Drosophila melanogaster: one gene and its partners. The protein of the gene in region 3 interacts with the protein of the main gene of each other region in a pairwise test. Each region holds a gene or a part of one and is shown on either strand. Other genes may lie near its edges.

What was found. Proteins that work in one complex are often made in the same cells at the same time.
Region 1: the proteins of tomb (region 3) and comr interact in a two-hybrid assay, tested with the Drosophila melanogaster proteins (one study listed by BioGRID).
Region 2: the proteins of tomb (region 3) and aly interact in a two-hybrid assay, tested with the Drosophila melanogaster proteins (one study listed by BioGRID).

The regions. Positions count from the first base shown.
Region 1 is NT_033778.4:21,863,753-21,869,149, forward strand, and holds comr (cookie monster), read right to left. Parts: upstream 3,108-5,397; 5' UTR 3,042-3,107; coding exon 1,239-3,041; 3' UTR 1,118-1,238; downstream 1-1,117.
Region 2 is NT_037436.4:3,023,012-3,028,770, forward strand, and holds aly (always early), read right to left. Parts: upstream 3,511-5,759; 5' UTR 3,414-3,510; coding exon 3,313-3,413; intron 3,250-3,312; coding exon 2,974-3,249; intron 2,911-2,973; coding exon 1,581-2,910; 3' UTR 1,118-1,580; downstream 1-1,117.
Region 3 is NT_033779.5:5,534,731-5,539,119, forward strand, and holds tomb (tombola), read right to left. Parts: upstream 2,029-4,389; 5' UTR 1,997-2,028; coding exon 1,828-1,996; intron 1,766-1,827; coding exon 1,203-1,765; 3' UTR 1,131-1,202; downstream 1-1,130. Other genes in the region: Cap-D3 (chromosome associated protein D3), read left to right, coding at 1-256, 320-573, 635-1,027; CG14015 (uncharacterized protein), read right to left, coding at 2,730-3,002, 3,071-3,299, 3,358-3,953, 4,027-4,380.

The DNA.
Region 1 (5,397 bases), on a different chromosome or scaffold from region 3:
TTAGATCATCATTTAAACATCAAATTTAATAATCAGCCTGTCATGTTTATAATTGTGACTCTTGGGGGAAGGGATGGGAGTATGGCAGCCTGGTCCACTCGGCTCCTCGATGGGCAATCATGGCAAAAGCCACCGAAATGGAGAAGCAGAAACATTTCTCAGAAGGCAAAACATGACACATCTCATTATGAGGACTCCCAAAAGAACTCAACCGCAGAATCCCTCGCCTTCTCGCAGTTCGTGTGCTGCTGTCAGAGCATTTTGTTTATGATTTTGTAGCTGTCATAAAGTTATTAAAAGTATGTGACATTTTTATGACATTATGACGTCTTGACTCAAGGTTTCTCCTCTTTTGCCAACCGAAAAATCTGTTTTGGGATTTTTCGGAGGAGCGGAGCCGGCAAATAAGAGGATACCGGCTTTTGTTTTCAACGCTCCAGAGTTCTGCGAGTGGGACCAAACCGATTTGATCCGTCCGGCTGTCTTGAAATATGATATCAAATAAAAAGCAAATTAAAGACGATAAAAATCGTGTCTCGGCTCACGCTGAGTTATATATATAAAAAAAAAGCGCTTATTTTTTGCGCCTCTTGCAAATGCGGTGCGAGGTACACCACAAATCCGAAATCCCTTCGAAATCAAGTATCGTTTAAGTTTCGCTTTGGTTCTGGTTTTGGTTTTGGTTTCGTTTTCGGTTGCCTGTTGTTCATCTTGTTATTTGGTGGCTCATAAAACTTGTAAACATCCGACTGATTGTGCCCCTGTCTGGTTTTTTCCTTTATTTTCTGGTTATACGTTTTCGGTTTTTGTGAGTTCGTGTGGGTGCTGGCCCTCGGTTCGAATTGGTAAGATATTTCCAGATGATATTACACTTTTGATTGGCCTCGGTAATGGGGCACTGAGGGCGTGAGAGATCAAAGAGCGATAAGCGATTTAATTGCCCATATGTCCAAACTTATTGCCTTCGAAGAAGACCAACAAAAGCTATAATGAAAGGTTTAGATATGCCCAATGGAAGATGGTTAAAGGAATGGGCCTAAAGTTGAATAAACAAAAGATATGGCAGAGGTGAATGGTCCGAAGATGCGTACCGTAAGTTTTAAATAAAATCCTCTTTAAAGTTACTAAATAACGTTTAATTGTTTGGTGCACAAATCCACACAGTCAAGTATTTGATTTAACAAATAATAACTCCTAGTTGCCTTAGATATACCATACAATTCCAATGAGTGGCAGACTCAACGAGGATTTCGCTTGGAGTTGCGTAGATCATAGCGTCGGCTTTTTGGCGGTTCAGGAGGGTTCCTGTACTGCAAATTTTTGTAAACATAATCCTCGTCATCCTCGTCGAAGTAATCCTCTTCCTCGTCGTCGTCGTCATCATCCAGGTCATCGTATTGCGAATCCTGCACCTTGGTTTCGGTCGTTTCTTCTATGACTTGCTCCTCGAAATCAGTTCCTTCTTCAAGAGTATAGGAGATATTTTCGTCACTAGGCTTTAACTTAACGTTCTTTGGGTTTCTAGACTTAAAACCTTCATACACTTCGTCTGGCTTGAAATCTTCGCATTCGCTGGAACTGGAATGTACGGGTTTAGCTTGGCGTTTCGTGGGTTTGGCTTTGGTTTTGGCTCTTGGTTTGGGCTTTGCTTTAAACCTGGTGCTGGTCTGTGGAAGTTCCTCCTCTTCGTTAAGATTAGAACCGCCGCACAATTCCTGCATAGCCTGCTCCAAGTCCGAGTCCTCCACTACCTTGCGACCTGTAGATTTCATCTTCGCCGCCGCTGAGGTGGATGGCATGAAGTCCAAGTCGAGGTCCGATGAAATCGGTGGCAGGGCATCGTCTTCATCATCCGAGTAATTCATGCCGATTGGCAGATTCTGCTGGAAACCAATGGACTTATTGGTGGCATCCATAACTATTTCCTTGTAGCCGGTGATTTTGCTACCATAGCGCGGCAGATATTCGGAGAAGAACTCGTTGACTTTGAATAGCTCGACCTGGCCATAATAACCGGCATAATCGGGAGCTTGGCCAATTCCGATATTAATCACAGATTCGTGCGGCTTTACGAATTTCTCAAAGGAAACTTTACTGGGCGCTAAGTCTACGGGGGCGTTATTGATAGACGAACGCCCCCTCTTCACATTCAGTTGCGTCATAATGTTCTTGTTGAACATATCGTGATTGTTGCGATCCTTAAGGACACCCAGATCGGCTTGATATCCTAGCAGAGTTTGGAAATGACATCGAGCCACTTGCAGAGCAGAACGGGATGTGTAGGGAGTGGAGCAGAGATCTCCTCGCCGTACCATCCTGGAAATATGGGCATAGTTCGGGAGGTGCAGAGGTGGTCGTCGCGGCTCCGCCGTTCCCGGGCTTGAAATTTCAGGTATTTTCTCACATTCCTGAGCCAGTTTATGCAATTTGAGTAACTGACCCTTAACGAAATTTGGATTCCGATAGATCAGCGTGATGTTGGTGGCTGAGGATTTACGCACATCCTTCAATGAAACGCGTTCGAATCCGTGGGCCAATAGAGTGCCCGTAAATTGCAATGTATTTCGACAATGAAACATGGAACACCCGCTGGACAAATGCTCCTGCATACCCTGGTAATCGACCTCCAGTTCGCGGCCATTTGCCGACCACTTGAGGTAGTGAATGGAGCTATTATCGGTGGCCAGGAACAGTTTCACGACGAATGCATAATGGAGTAGAGGATGGCTTTTTGGCGTTTCCGGGATATGGATACCCAATTGTCGGTAAATCCGCCTGTGATTCTCCGCTGCCTTCTTATTGATGTCGGAAACAGGTTTAACTGCCAGATCGAGGGGCTCCTTCTGCAAAGGATTTCTTTCGAAATCTTCCAGCGGATCCTCGGAGTCCACAAAATCCAGAAACTCGGGGCTATCCGCTGGCGTCCTGGACTCCTGCTGTTCCAACTCATTTGTCCAACTTGTTGCTGCGTCTTCTTCATATTCATCACCACTTTCATTGACCTGCTGTGACTGGCCCAAAGTGTCTTGGTTCCCCGACATTATCCTTTTGTATTTACAAACTTCGATGACTTTTTAGTTCTCAAACAAATATTCGGGCAAACGAGCAAGCCGGAAAAATATGAGGACTGACAAACGAAATGTTGGCCCACTTTAAGGGTTGCCCTGCTGTTGTTTTCCATTCGGAAAAAGTGTTGCTAAGTTTTTCTGTTATCCTTTACAGTTTCTATCGATGATTTTTAAGAAAACACACTCTCATCGGTGTACTTTAAGCAGTCACACTTAATGTTCAAAACTTCTTTTTTTTACATGTTAAATAAGCCTTGCATTCCACTATTATTATTCTGCTGCCAAAAATTCTTATTGATAAATTAAAGTTACACAATTTAGCTTTAGTGAAAGAGTAGACAGGCGAAAACCAAACAAAGCTCCTTTCATTTTATTTGAATGCACTTCATGTTTTGTTTGCAATAAATCTATTGTTATTTATAACCCCAAAACCCCCAGTTTTAACCCTCCCATTTGTTTCCAAGGGCGGCAAAGTTCAAAAAGGAAAGTAAGGGAAGCCTTTCAATTGGGGATTCATGGGCTATATCAACAATAATGCAGACCAAAGCCGAGACAACAAAAAGCCGCCAACACTGGCACTCAACTGGTCTATAACCAGTCAATGAGAAAGAGAGGGTGACACTGTGCCGAAAGAGATAGCTTTAAATTGACATTCATATGAATATTTAATACACATCCTTTAATCACGAATCATCCATGGCGAACACCCCCCCAATTATTCTGACTGATGCACGATATTTGGATGAACAAACTGCTGAGTTTTTGGCACAGGCGAAAAAAATCGGACTGACAAGAATTTTATGCAATAATCTCACGTGTCACCAGGAGTAAATTAAAAAAATGTCGTCAGCTGCTTGAATCTATTGAATATTATAATACCCTGCTCTTTATAGCTTCTTTAGTTATTGGTAAATTACTGATGTGAATAGTTCGTCTAGTGAATATAATTATGCATTTCATTGCTCAATTTCTTTGGCGAATATTTCCGCCAATTTTATTGTTCTTTTATTACACTAGTTGTAATGTTTACAGTCCGAATTTGATGACAAAGTTGTAATTTCCGAGCGAAAATCATAGGGCAGCCCATGAAAAGCTGCATAACAAGAACAACGGCTGTATATGACGAATAAATTTACAAGTCCAGTTGGAAAAAAATAGTATACCAGCACGCACGTGATTTTGACAATGAAACCCCTTTCAATTTTTTCATTGCTTCCTATTTTTTGTTGCTCTTTCTTTTGGCGGAACGAAAAAGTTTCTTTTGTTGTACATTTTTTACGATCTGATTTAGTCGTGTGACGGAAGCCCTATATGAATTCATAAAAAGCACTACATAAGTTTCGGTTTCAGTTTAATTTTACGGGTAGAGAGCTAGAGGTCTTTATTTACTCCTTATCTGGGGACAACTATTGTTCAACTATATATGGAGATCTCCCATCTCGTTCGTCTAAAAAATATTTTATAAAATGTTGAAAACGTTATAAAACATAAAAGTAGGAATGCCGCCGCCGTAGTGTTGTTTTGTTTTTGTTTAATGCGTGTCAAGTGGTCGTAGATTATGCATTTTTATGGTTTATGGGGCGCTACTCCATCGGTTTTCCTTTTAGACTATTGTTTTCCAAGCAATTAAAGATGAAGACGACTGAGCACGACCTTCTAGCCCCGAATTTTTCCAGCTGTTTTCCGCCCTTTCGCTATCTGAATTGCATTTTTACGATCCCGATTCCAGTTTCGATTATATTTCCTTATTCTAGAGTGAGTCACTGCAGCAAGTGATACGCTCTATAAGATTCTCGTGGTTTAGTGACTCATGTGAAGACAATGGAGCTCCAATCCATCAATCATTTCACTTGCCAGAAGGCAAACCTTGGGGTCTCATTGAACTTATTTCTCTCTGCTCTTCGCTTTCTTCGCCTTGAGGTTAAGCTAATTAAAATAAATGAATATATTTCATAATTTTACGAACTGCATATTAAGGGCCAAAGTTTGGTGGACTTTGACAATTAGCGGCTAAAATATCACTTTGCCATATAGCATGCAGAAAAATCATTTTTCAAAACACAATGCATATTAATGATCGTATCGTTTTCTTGAGAAATGCCACAATTAAACATATTGAAAGAGTTTACAATTTAGTTCATTAAGCAAGGGATTTCTTGGAATATGGGATTTTGAAATGTGCAGGCAATGCTCATAAAATCTTATACTCTTAAAAATTGTATATATTTATTATATTAATAAATTTAAATTGTATATAATTTCCTAGAACACAACCAGTTCGAATGCAAATGTATTTTCACAATGTATCTGACGACCTTATCTACAATCT
Region 2 (5,759 bases), on a different chromosome or scaffold from region 3:
ATCCGCAGCCTTGCAGAGTCGTTAATCAATTAGGTTGCCAGTCTTAGGCGATTGCTTTGCTGGCATGTGGATATGCGATTATATATGTGTTGCCACTTAAGCTGTTATGTATTGATTCAATTTCATATAAACGATGCCCCGCCACGCGCAAATATAATTAATGATCAAGTGTCAACGGAATAAAAAAAACTTTAGTCATCTCGAATGCATTATGTAAGGCGGTGTATTGAATTACATTTAGCACGAGTAGCCAACCAACATTCACAACTTTCACAACACGAGTTGGTCCACGCGGATACTTGACCGTATAAACTTGGCCTGCCCACATTTATTTGCTGCCATTTGTTACGTTTGTTTATCCTGGCTGGGGGATCCTTGATGTCAAACTACCACGTCTGTCGATTTTTTTGTTCTTCAAGTGTTCTTCAAGTTTGCGAGGCTATTGAAACGTTCAAAATAAATACATTAATCAAGTTAATGCCTAAATATATATTTCATTACAGCCATATTCTTGTGAGCACAAGTACTGCAAGGCACTGCGAAAAAAAATTACTATCACATTGACTTGACTGGTCATTCTAATCAGGAATACGAATAAAACATTTAATTTTGAATGCATCCTCAACCAGAGTCTTTACCACAGTTGTAACATATAGTGGAAAAAATGTTGCACTCGATAAATTTATAGCCGGATTCGCCGCCCCTGCAGCTTCAACGTATTATAAATATTTACGAGCCGCCCGCTCGGGTGGATTCCGTGGAGGATACGCACATCTTAGTCGATGACGACGACACATCCGGGGGAGCAAAATGGCCAGAGTCCATTCCCGCAGGACACACGCCATCAGCTCCTTTGCCGATCGTTTCTCCTCCCGGGGGACAGAGCGACGCAGTGCATCCGGAGGCATATTAATGATGTCTTTATGGCGGCCACATGGGCGTTGGCAAATTCCCCGGCGGAACTGGCTCACCCGCACAATTTACGAGCGTAGTGCATCCATCTAGTAATTAAAAAATAGAAAACACTTTACTCGTAAATGCTGATTTATGTGGGGATGCAACATTGCTGCACAAAATTTAGCCTCAAAAAAAGAGAAAATTTCCATACCTCCTTTTTGCAGGGTTTATTAGTACTTAGAGAGTTATAGTAAGAGTTTTTCTTAATCATTTTTAAGTATTTAATAAACTACACTTTCTATCATCAAAGTTGTAACACATTTACAGGCCCTTTAGAAAAAGCAAACATTCCCCAGTGATTATCCTTTTTTGAGTGCCCCCTTAAAGTTTTCGTTCACATACGCATTACTTATTTGGTTGCCAATCTGTCAACTGTTTTACGGCTGACTTCCTGTGGAACGTGCCACTGGAAACTTGAAATAAATCCTAGAACCACGTACCCCCCCCCCCCAACTACCCCTTCGCGTAAGTACCAAAAGAGCTCTACAAGGTAGCAGCCACAAGAAACTTCGTTAAGCTCCTCTGCCGGCAAACTCCCAATGCACATGACACTCCTCCTAATTGAGCCATAAATAAGAGCGAGGCTTTATTTCAGTATTCCAAAGGGCCAGTAGGTAGTGTGTTTAGCTGGGAGTATCCGGCTGTGCCTCGACCACAAAGTTGTAGATACCATCCTCGGTTTGCATCGGAGCCTGCTGGGTGATTTGGAAGCGCTCTGGTTTTTTGACGTCTTTAAATATTTGCACCACCTGCTGACGCAGAGGCTCCAGGGAATCGACGCCATCTTTTAATTTCCGGCCCAGCGATGGCTGGATGTTGTCCACCATGTGGGTAACCAGATCAGCGATAATCGTCTCCAAATTGGAGCTGTTCTCGCGCCCCAGCTTTCCATTGAGATACAGTATGGTGTGAAGGTTGCGGACGAACTCCTGCGTGCGATCCGATTCTATCTTCAGGAATTTCTCATCCGCGGCAGTCTTGAGGTCCTGTTCCGCCTGCATGCGACACTTCTGATAGACTTCGCTGGCGGGACGACCTCTTTTGGACTCCTCCTCCTCGTCCTGCTTCTGATACTCGACCAGGTAGTCGTGCAGGATGCGCAGCGGTTCAAGGATATCAGCGTTCACTCGGTGCAGCGTTATCATGCTGGCCGAATAGCGACGCTGGAGATTCTCACGCTGAGGTGTGACCTTGGCATCGCGACGACTACTTGAAGAACCAATCTCCTTGAATGTCTCGAAATCCTCATTCATTCGGGCCAAGTCCATGAGGATCTTGTGCTTGACATCCTGTAGTTTACCAACCCTTAGCACTGATTCCAGAAGTTCCTTGGTGTACCTCTTGTTTCCGAACTTCTCGGTCTTGGCGCTCTCCGAAATAACCGAGGACGATTTGTTGCCGCGCATAATAATTGACAAGGGAACCGCCGCGGTTTCCTCGTCGGAATAGAGCTGTGAATCCGGAAGACTGAGCACGACTGCATTGTCGTTTCTATTGAATCGAACCAGATAGGTGTAGTCCTGCGGATCGTAGCCCATGACAGTGCCATTGACGATGCCCTCAAAGGAGTTTCCGTGCAGAAAACTGCTGACCGTGGCATCCTTGGCCAGTGGCAGGGGCACACGCTTGGGTATCTGGTCCAAGTAGCCCACGTTCTCCTTGGGATTGAACTTATGCTGCTGCAACTGGCGCACAATGCGGCGCTGGCACTCCAATTCTTCGCGTTCCAGCTCGATGAAGGCGGCCGAAAATCGACGCGCCTTCCCCATATTCCGACGTACCAATTGCCATCCTCTGCGGGGCATGAAGCAAGAGTGCAGGAGCGGACAGTACTCCGCTATGAAGCGCTTCATATCGTAGCCCATGGTCAGGGTCGGCTTGTCCAGGAAGGAGTCGACGAACTCACACCAAATCCAACGGTGAGAGCTGAGATACTTCAGGAAATTGTACAATCTAAAGGAGAATGAACAATTAAGCACTTAAAGGGATCTCTAGGGAATCTTTCCCATTACGAACCTCTTGCCAAGTATAAAGTCATTGGAGTAGGGATCCTGCTCCTTTTCCTTTTCCTTCGCTTTCTCGTCCTCCGAAACATCTACAGATATATTGGACGGCTTCTTTGTAAAGTTCTCAGTCCTTTTGGACGCCACGCCTGGTTTAATTCTTCCCTGGATCTCTGGCTTTTCGGAAATCCTAATACGCGGGGCGAAATTTGGGCGTTTAATAAATAATTCATCGTTTTGCCATGCCGCCACCATCTTTCTGGGTTTCTTCAATTGATGACGCGACATTCTACGGATGGTAGCACAGTTATAGTTCTATTTTAATATTTGATAGAAAAGGAGAAAATATTACGTTGTCGTAGATAGTAATCCTATATTTGCCAGAAACTCGTTTTCTTCGCAGATCTCAGATTGGATTGTGAAATTATCGATTGATAGTGGATCAACTGACATGCTGAAATGGTCTACTAAGTTTTTCTTTAGTAATTTAAGCGAAGTTTTTCTGAACCAAATGTTTTTTTTGTTAAAAGTCTCACGCCATTTGACATATGGCCTCCAAACTTGGGTTGCCAACATATTTCAATTCTGTCAAGGGTTGCCATATTTTCTAAGGTACTAACTAAAGTCATTATTAAAGTAACAGTTCTGATAAATTAAATTAAAACAACTAAAGTCTTACATGGATTTTAATAAACAGTATCAATATTTTTTATGAACAGCAGGCTCAATCGAATTATGTAATTTTTTTTTTTTAATTCATTGATTTTGTTTTTTGTTATATGCCGCTTTCCAGGGTTGTTGATTTTCCGAGTGAAATCTGTTGAATTTTTAATTTGAAAAACTTTTGCGTGATTTTCATAGCTGGTGCCAATTGCGCAACACAACAATGGGTGGCCGAAACTCAGCCTAGCAAAATAGTAAACAGCCAAAGTTTCGCCGGACTGCAAGAATGGCTTCATGGTCAATAGTAGATGGTCGATATGGTGGTAATGGTCATCGGGGCGCGTAATTAATAAAGTTTGCATACGACTGTTGTCGTGGCTAAAACGCCGCCAGCGGATTTCGAATTACGTAAATGGATTTCAGCATTATTGCCTGCGCACTTTTGGCCTAATTTCCATGTCTGTGATGTGGTAAGTACGCCTGTGCACTGCAAAAAAAAAGGGTACAAAGACAAGAGAATTGCTAATGAAATTCCGAGAGTATTTAGTTAGAAACGCTGAAACACACACTTGTTTTAACATCCAAATTCCATATTTAATTATATAAAACGGAATTCTAAATTAAATTAAATTAAATTATAAATACACCTCAGTGTATGCCAATGGTTTGTGCCCGCAAACTTTCGACATGTGTTGCGGTCGTTTTCTGGGAAAAAGGAAATTGGATATCCAGATATTCAGACTTAAAGGAACTTAAAGATTACTTCCTCCATCGAGATATCGATTGCCGTCTGTGCACCTCATTCAATTTGCTGTGCACACAGAGCTTCCGCAGAATCGGTGACAGAAGGAAGAGATACCAGTTTTAATTTGCATTCCTTTCGCCTCGAAGGAGCAGCGGGATGTCCTAATGCAGGACACCTGCAGCTTGTACTCACTTAATCAGCAGACAGGCAAAGGTGATGCAGGTGGCTGGCTGGAGGCCAGCAACATGCGCTTAAAATTAAAAACCCAAGGCAGACAGCTGGATGGTTCCCATGTTCTTCAGTTTTTGTGTTCCAGGATCACAAAACAAAACATTGACATTGAACTAATGAAAGCTGCAGGCGACACGTGCCACGCCCACCTACCACCCACCGCCCATCGCCCAGCCAGGAGGCCTTAGCCAGCGGAATGGGCGATGATAGGTCGTGCCAACGGGTTACTCATGTGCACGACTTCATTCATACATACATACATATACATATGAATGGGTATTCTCATGCGGCTATATTGTACCCTGTATAGCGAATGTTGGCTTTCAGCCTGCGGGTCGTCTTTGCACTGGCCCAAAAAACTGGCTAAATGTTGAACGGCACACGCAAGCGTGTTAAAAAAAAAGGTTTGCTCAGTGAACCTAAAAAATCGAGTTCAAAGAGTGAGGGGTGTTTTAAATGGGCGTATGTGAATCAGAAGTCAACCATGAAGGTGTCAAAAGGTATACAGCGTTAGTATGAAAAGGATTAACACTTAGTGGGGCAATTAATTTCCCACTTTTATATTAGGTTTAAATAAACGAAGTACATATAATATTTAAGTGAAAATCGGACTTCAGTGTAAGATACAATAGTTTCACCAGCTTGTCGAACTTAAACTCTTGAGCTGACAGCTTTAGCTTCTTGGCCATCTACACGACAGAATCTGTCGCAGCTTGCCCGCCTTATACTCATGGCTTTTACTGTGCATTTACAGTTTATGACAGTTTGAGGACATTAAAATTGAAGCAGTTTGTATCGCCAGCTCCCAGTTGGGGGGCCACATGGGTTGGAGCTGGCTTATCGCCACTCGCCACTTTCATGGCCATGGAGCGCATTAATTGATTCGAGAGTTCGGTCTTTAAAGCACGATTTTAGAGCGGACATAACAAAGCCACTCGGGGGAGTCTGTGAAAGTCAATGACTTTCTGGGTAAAGTCACGTATTGGCCAACAAAAACAAAAAGCAGACTTGCAAAAAGGAACAAAGCTTCTTTATATTTATGCCATATACTCACACATTTGTCGCATTAATTGAAAGCGCGAAAGCGACAGTTGAATCAATTTTCGGTTTTTATTCGGTTATTTTTCTTTATGAAAAATCATTTGACAAGGAGCGTGCTT
Region 3 (4,389 bases):
AGGGAGGCGGATGCCTTCTTCACTCGCTACAAAAAGTTGTACAACAAAATGTTATTCGATCACTGCCTGAAGGAGTGCCCCTTCGATCTGAATGACCAGGCTATTTTGAGGGGCGTGAGAACGAATGGCAACTACAAGTCACCTCTGAAGGGTTCACAAATGGCCAAGAAACGTAGGTTGCTCTACAATCACATAATGTCCTCGATGGACGAGAACGTGCTGTTGCTTTACTTCGGCCAACTAAAACTGCTGGCAGGTGAGTAAAGTTGTTTTATACATACTTCAAGTAGATATGCTAAGATATATATACTTCTTGTAGAAAAGACCAGAGACCAAGCATTCATCAACAATCCCGACGCCCTGATTGTGGTTCAGGATATGCTCTTCATCATGCGCCGCATTTGCTATTGCACCAAGGGAATGGGTAAAGAGAAGAACTCTCGTGGCGAGGGCGACAATATCGATGAAGGTGAAGATGCGTCATCGGAGCCAGCAACTCCACCAACTAGACCAGAAGCAGGCGAGGCAACAAGCAGAGGAAGAGGGCGAAAGGCGGACATGTCCGAGGAGCCAGTATGTAAATCTAACTGATTAACTTTTCCCCCTTGAGCTAAATGTTCAAATTCCTTTGCAGCTCAAGCAACTGGAACGCTGTCTTCGCTTTGTGGAAGAAACCCATCGCAACATAGTGCCCGTCATGAGTCCCGAGCTTAGTCACAACTTTGAATCCTTTTGCCGAGCGATGGCCATGAGATTCCCCAACTACATTGAGTTCGCCCAGCCCGCGCAATTTTGGCGGCAGTTTCGATCATCGGCGAAAGCTCCCAGAGCGAGCAGAAGCAAGCGACGACGTATGGAGGAGGGCGAAGTCGAGTCCCATGAGGAGCACGAGTCGGAGAGCGACAGTGACAGTGAGCTGCCGCTGGACAGGCACAAGACCACGCCGACTGCCTCCCGTTTGTCCCAAAGGAAAACCAGCTGCGATATGCTTGTCACCGAGCTGATTTTCCAGCCACCCGATTGGTAGTTTCAATTTTTGCGACCTTGCAAACTGAATTTCTCAATTATTTAGTTTTACACAAATCGAATATTGTATTATTTTGCATTATAAAATGTACATATGTATGTATCTATAAGCCAAAAATGGAATCAAGTTATTCTTGACCTTGAAACTATTTAATAAGCCATTTTGACGTTTTGAGTTAATAATAATCCTTGCTGTACTCGCATATTTTCTCCAAAATGTTCTTGTAGCCGCGCATAAACTCTTCGAGCACCAGCTGGCACACTTGGAGCTCGTTCAGGCCCAACTGTTCGGCTTCCGTGGCCTGGATGAGCATGCACTCCAGCAGAGCCGCGTTCACCGGCTGCACGAAGAGATTCCGATCCCTGCGATCGTCGTGCCGCACCGGAATGATCAGATTGACGGGCATCGGAGGTTCCGCCGGTTGCTTCACTGCCCTGGCTGGAGTGGCGGCAGTCGCTATGGGTCGTGAGATGGGTATGGGGTTAATGTGACTACTAGCCATCGGTGGTTTGCCAGCCACTAGGGTATACTTTGGCGGCGTCATTAGCGCCTTGCCGGGCAACGCCAAAGTGGATGCCGCCACCTGGAGCGCCTTGCCCTGGACATCGATGCCCGCCTTGGCAGCTGCGGCTGCTGCCTTGGCGCTCATCGCAGCCGCCTTCTGCCTTTTCACAGCGCTGGAATTCTTGGCCACGGAGTTGGGGTCCACCAACTCGCGCACCTCTGTGTTCCTGCAGCCTGCATTACAGGGTATATGAGTGCCGTAGGGTATATTTATGCTTATAGAAATGAAATCATACCAACGCATCGACAGAACTTGGTGCAGATGGCCATGGACTGATAGCAGTCGCAGTAGTTCTTGATGCACTGCGACCGCTTGCAGCAGCATCCCTTCACGCCGCCTGCTCCTTGACCCTTGCCCTTCTTGCCATCCGCTTTATCCACACTTCTTTTCTTGGGCGATGGCATGTTGCTGCCTTAATCTCTTCCAGAAACGAACTGATGACAGCTCCAACAAAAAAAATCAGTGTTGAAAGGATGGCAACCCTTATACATATAAAAATATATATGTATAAATAAAACAGCAATATTGTGGGCACTAAACTATTAAAGCTTAGATAAAGTATTTATATGTCGTACTGGTAATAAAGTTAAAATTTGTTAAGTACCAATCGTTTAACAAGTGTCTAGTTTATATCGTTATAACATAGATAATTTCCTTTGGTGTCTACATAATATGGCATGGCATTAAGTTATGATATTGTTCTCCTCTACTCGTTTAGTCTACGATAATTGAAAGCTATTTTATATTATAGATGTAATAAAAAGAGTTACATTATTAATTGATATCAATTGTAATTGCTTTCCTTTCATATATATTCTGTGTCGAGTGATTTGGCAGCGAAACCAACTCAAACCTCTTCTCAAAATTCTCTTTTTTTGATTGGCGTTTAGTACTTAAATTACTTATGTAATTGGAATGAAGTGCGTTGCATTTCCCGCCAAAAAACTCGACATTTGGGCGCGCGTTTTCAAAAATATCACTATCAAAACGATATATTTATGCAGTGTGTAAATGTGTGCAGCAGAAGACTTCTTAACAGTTGGAAAGTAATTGAGTGGCCTGCAATCGTTGCTATTGCTTCTAAAGTAACTAGGATTATCTCCGCTGCGCTCCTAACTAGTCCCACTTGGTGCGCTCCTAGCATATGGTTCCATTGAGCAGCTCGTAACAGTTGGGCGGCGATGCTGGCGAGGCTGCTGCCGCCGCCTCCTGTCGCGTCTTCAGAAAGTTGCCCACCCAATGGGCCGTGAGATCCAGATATTTCGTTCTCGAGCCCGGATTGTAGTCGAGGAAGCCGGCGCGTGGCATCACCTCCTCGATCTGGCTGCCATCCGGCCAGTTGTTGTAGCTGGCTATGTTGATGAAGCCCACGTGGTTGAGAATGGCTGTCCGCCAGGCCACGCCATAGTACTGCAAGATCAAATGATATTAGTATTAGTAGCCTGTTCTGGCACTCCAGTTGATGGCTGCTCCTTCACCCGTCCATTGCTGCGATGCCGCTGGATGTCTCCGTGTCGCGGAAACTTGTTCCTCTCCGCGAATCCCGGACCCACCGTGGGCACAAAGAGCATCTTGTAGGACAGCGCAAATGACTTCAGATACGACCAGTTCTTCCAAGTGCTGGCGAAGACAGCTCCATTGCTGGGCAGTTTGCTGTAGAAGCCATCGAAGCACAACCTCCGCAGGACATCGGCATGGCTTTTGAGCCTGGAGAGAAACGAAAGGATATATAGAATCACCTAGGATAATCTAAGGCGCACCCCACCTTATGTGTCCAATGAATAAGGCATCCAGAATTCTCCGCAGACCATCCGGTTCCACCAGCGAAGGCGATCGACACAACAGCCTTCCCAGACTATCACTCAACTTGTAGGCATTGCTCACGTAGAGAACCGGCAGGGAGACACCTCTCGACTGACTCCACACCTTGTAGAATCCAGCTAGGCTGGTGTATGTGGCAATCTCCTGCAGCTGCTGGCGCACAAACTCCACGCTCTGATTCCCGGCCACACTGAGCTCAAAGGTAACGCTAAGATTGTGCTGCGGTGCCAGTTCCAAGATCTGATGCAGCAGTGCCGCCTCCGCGGGCTTGCCACCGGAGAAGCTCAGGATGAGCACACCGATGCCACAGCTGCGTATGTTCTCGAAATGCTGGGCCAGCAGCGAGCCACTGGGCTTGTACAGACCCAGTGCCGGATAGAAGGCGGTGTTTAGGATTCGCACTGGTCGCGGCGTGGTCAGTGGCACATCGTTTGGGTGCTCCGCTGGCGGCGGAGGCGGCTTCTTCGACTTGTACCACGGCACCGGGGCAGTGTAGAATATGTGCACTGCACTGATCACCACATCCAAAGTGGTACGCGACTGAACAAAGTGTACATTTTTAAGATTTAAGGACTAAGATTGGCCACCTTCTTGGACTGAACTGGAAACTTACAGACTGCTCCGCCTCGTGGTCCCGCTGCTGCTGCTGCTTCATCAGATCGATTTTGCTCTGAATGATGCGCTCCTTGATCTTCTGCTCGTCATACTTCTCGGGCACAATCACTCCGTTCTCCCGCTGCGGCTGGAGCAGCGCGACGGCCACCGGCGGCGGCTTCTCCGCCACTTGGGGCTGATCCCCGGGCCTGTAGGCGCGTGCGATGAATCGCTCGTCCAGCAGCAGTTCGATGGCCGCATTGCGTCCGCTGGAGCCCAGCACTATGATGGTGATGACCAGCAGGGCGACGATGGCCAGCAGGAGTAGAATCTTCAGCTTACGCCGCGTTTTCACATACTTTTTTAGCAGCATTTTCGCAAG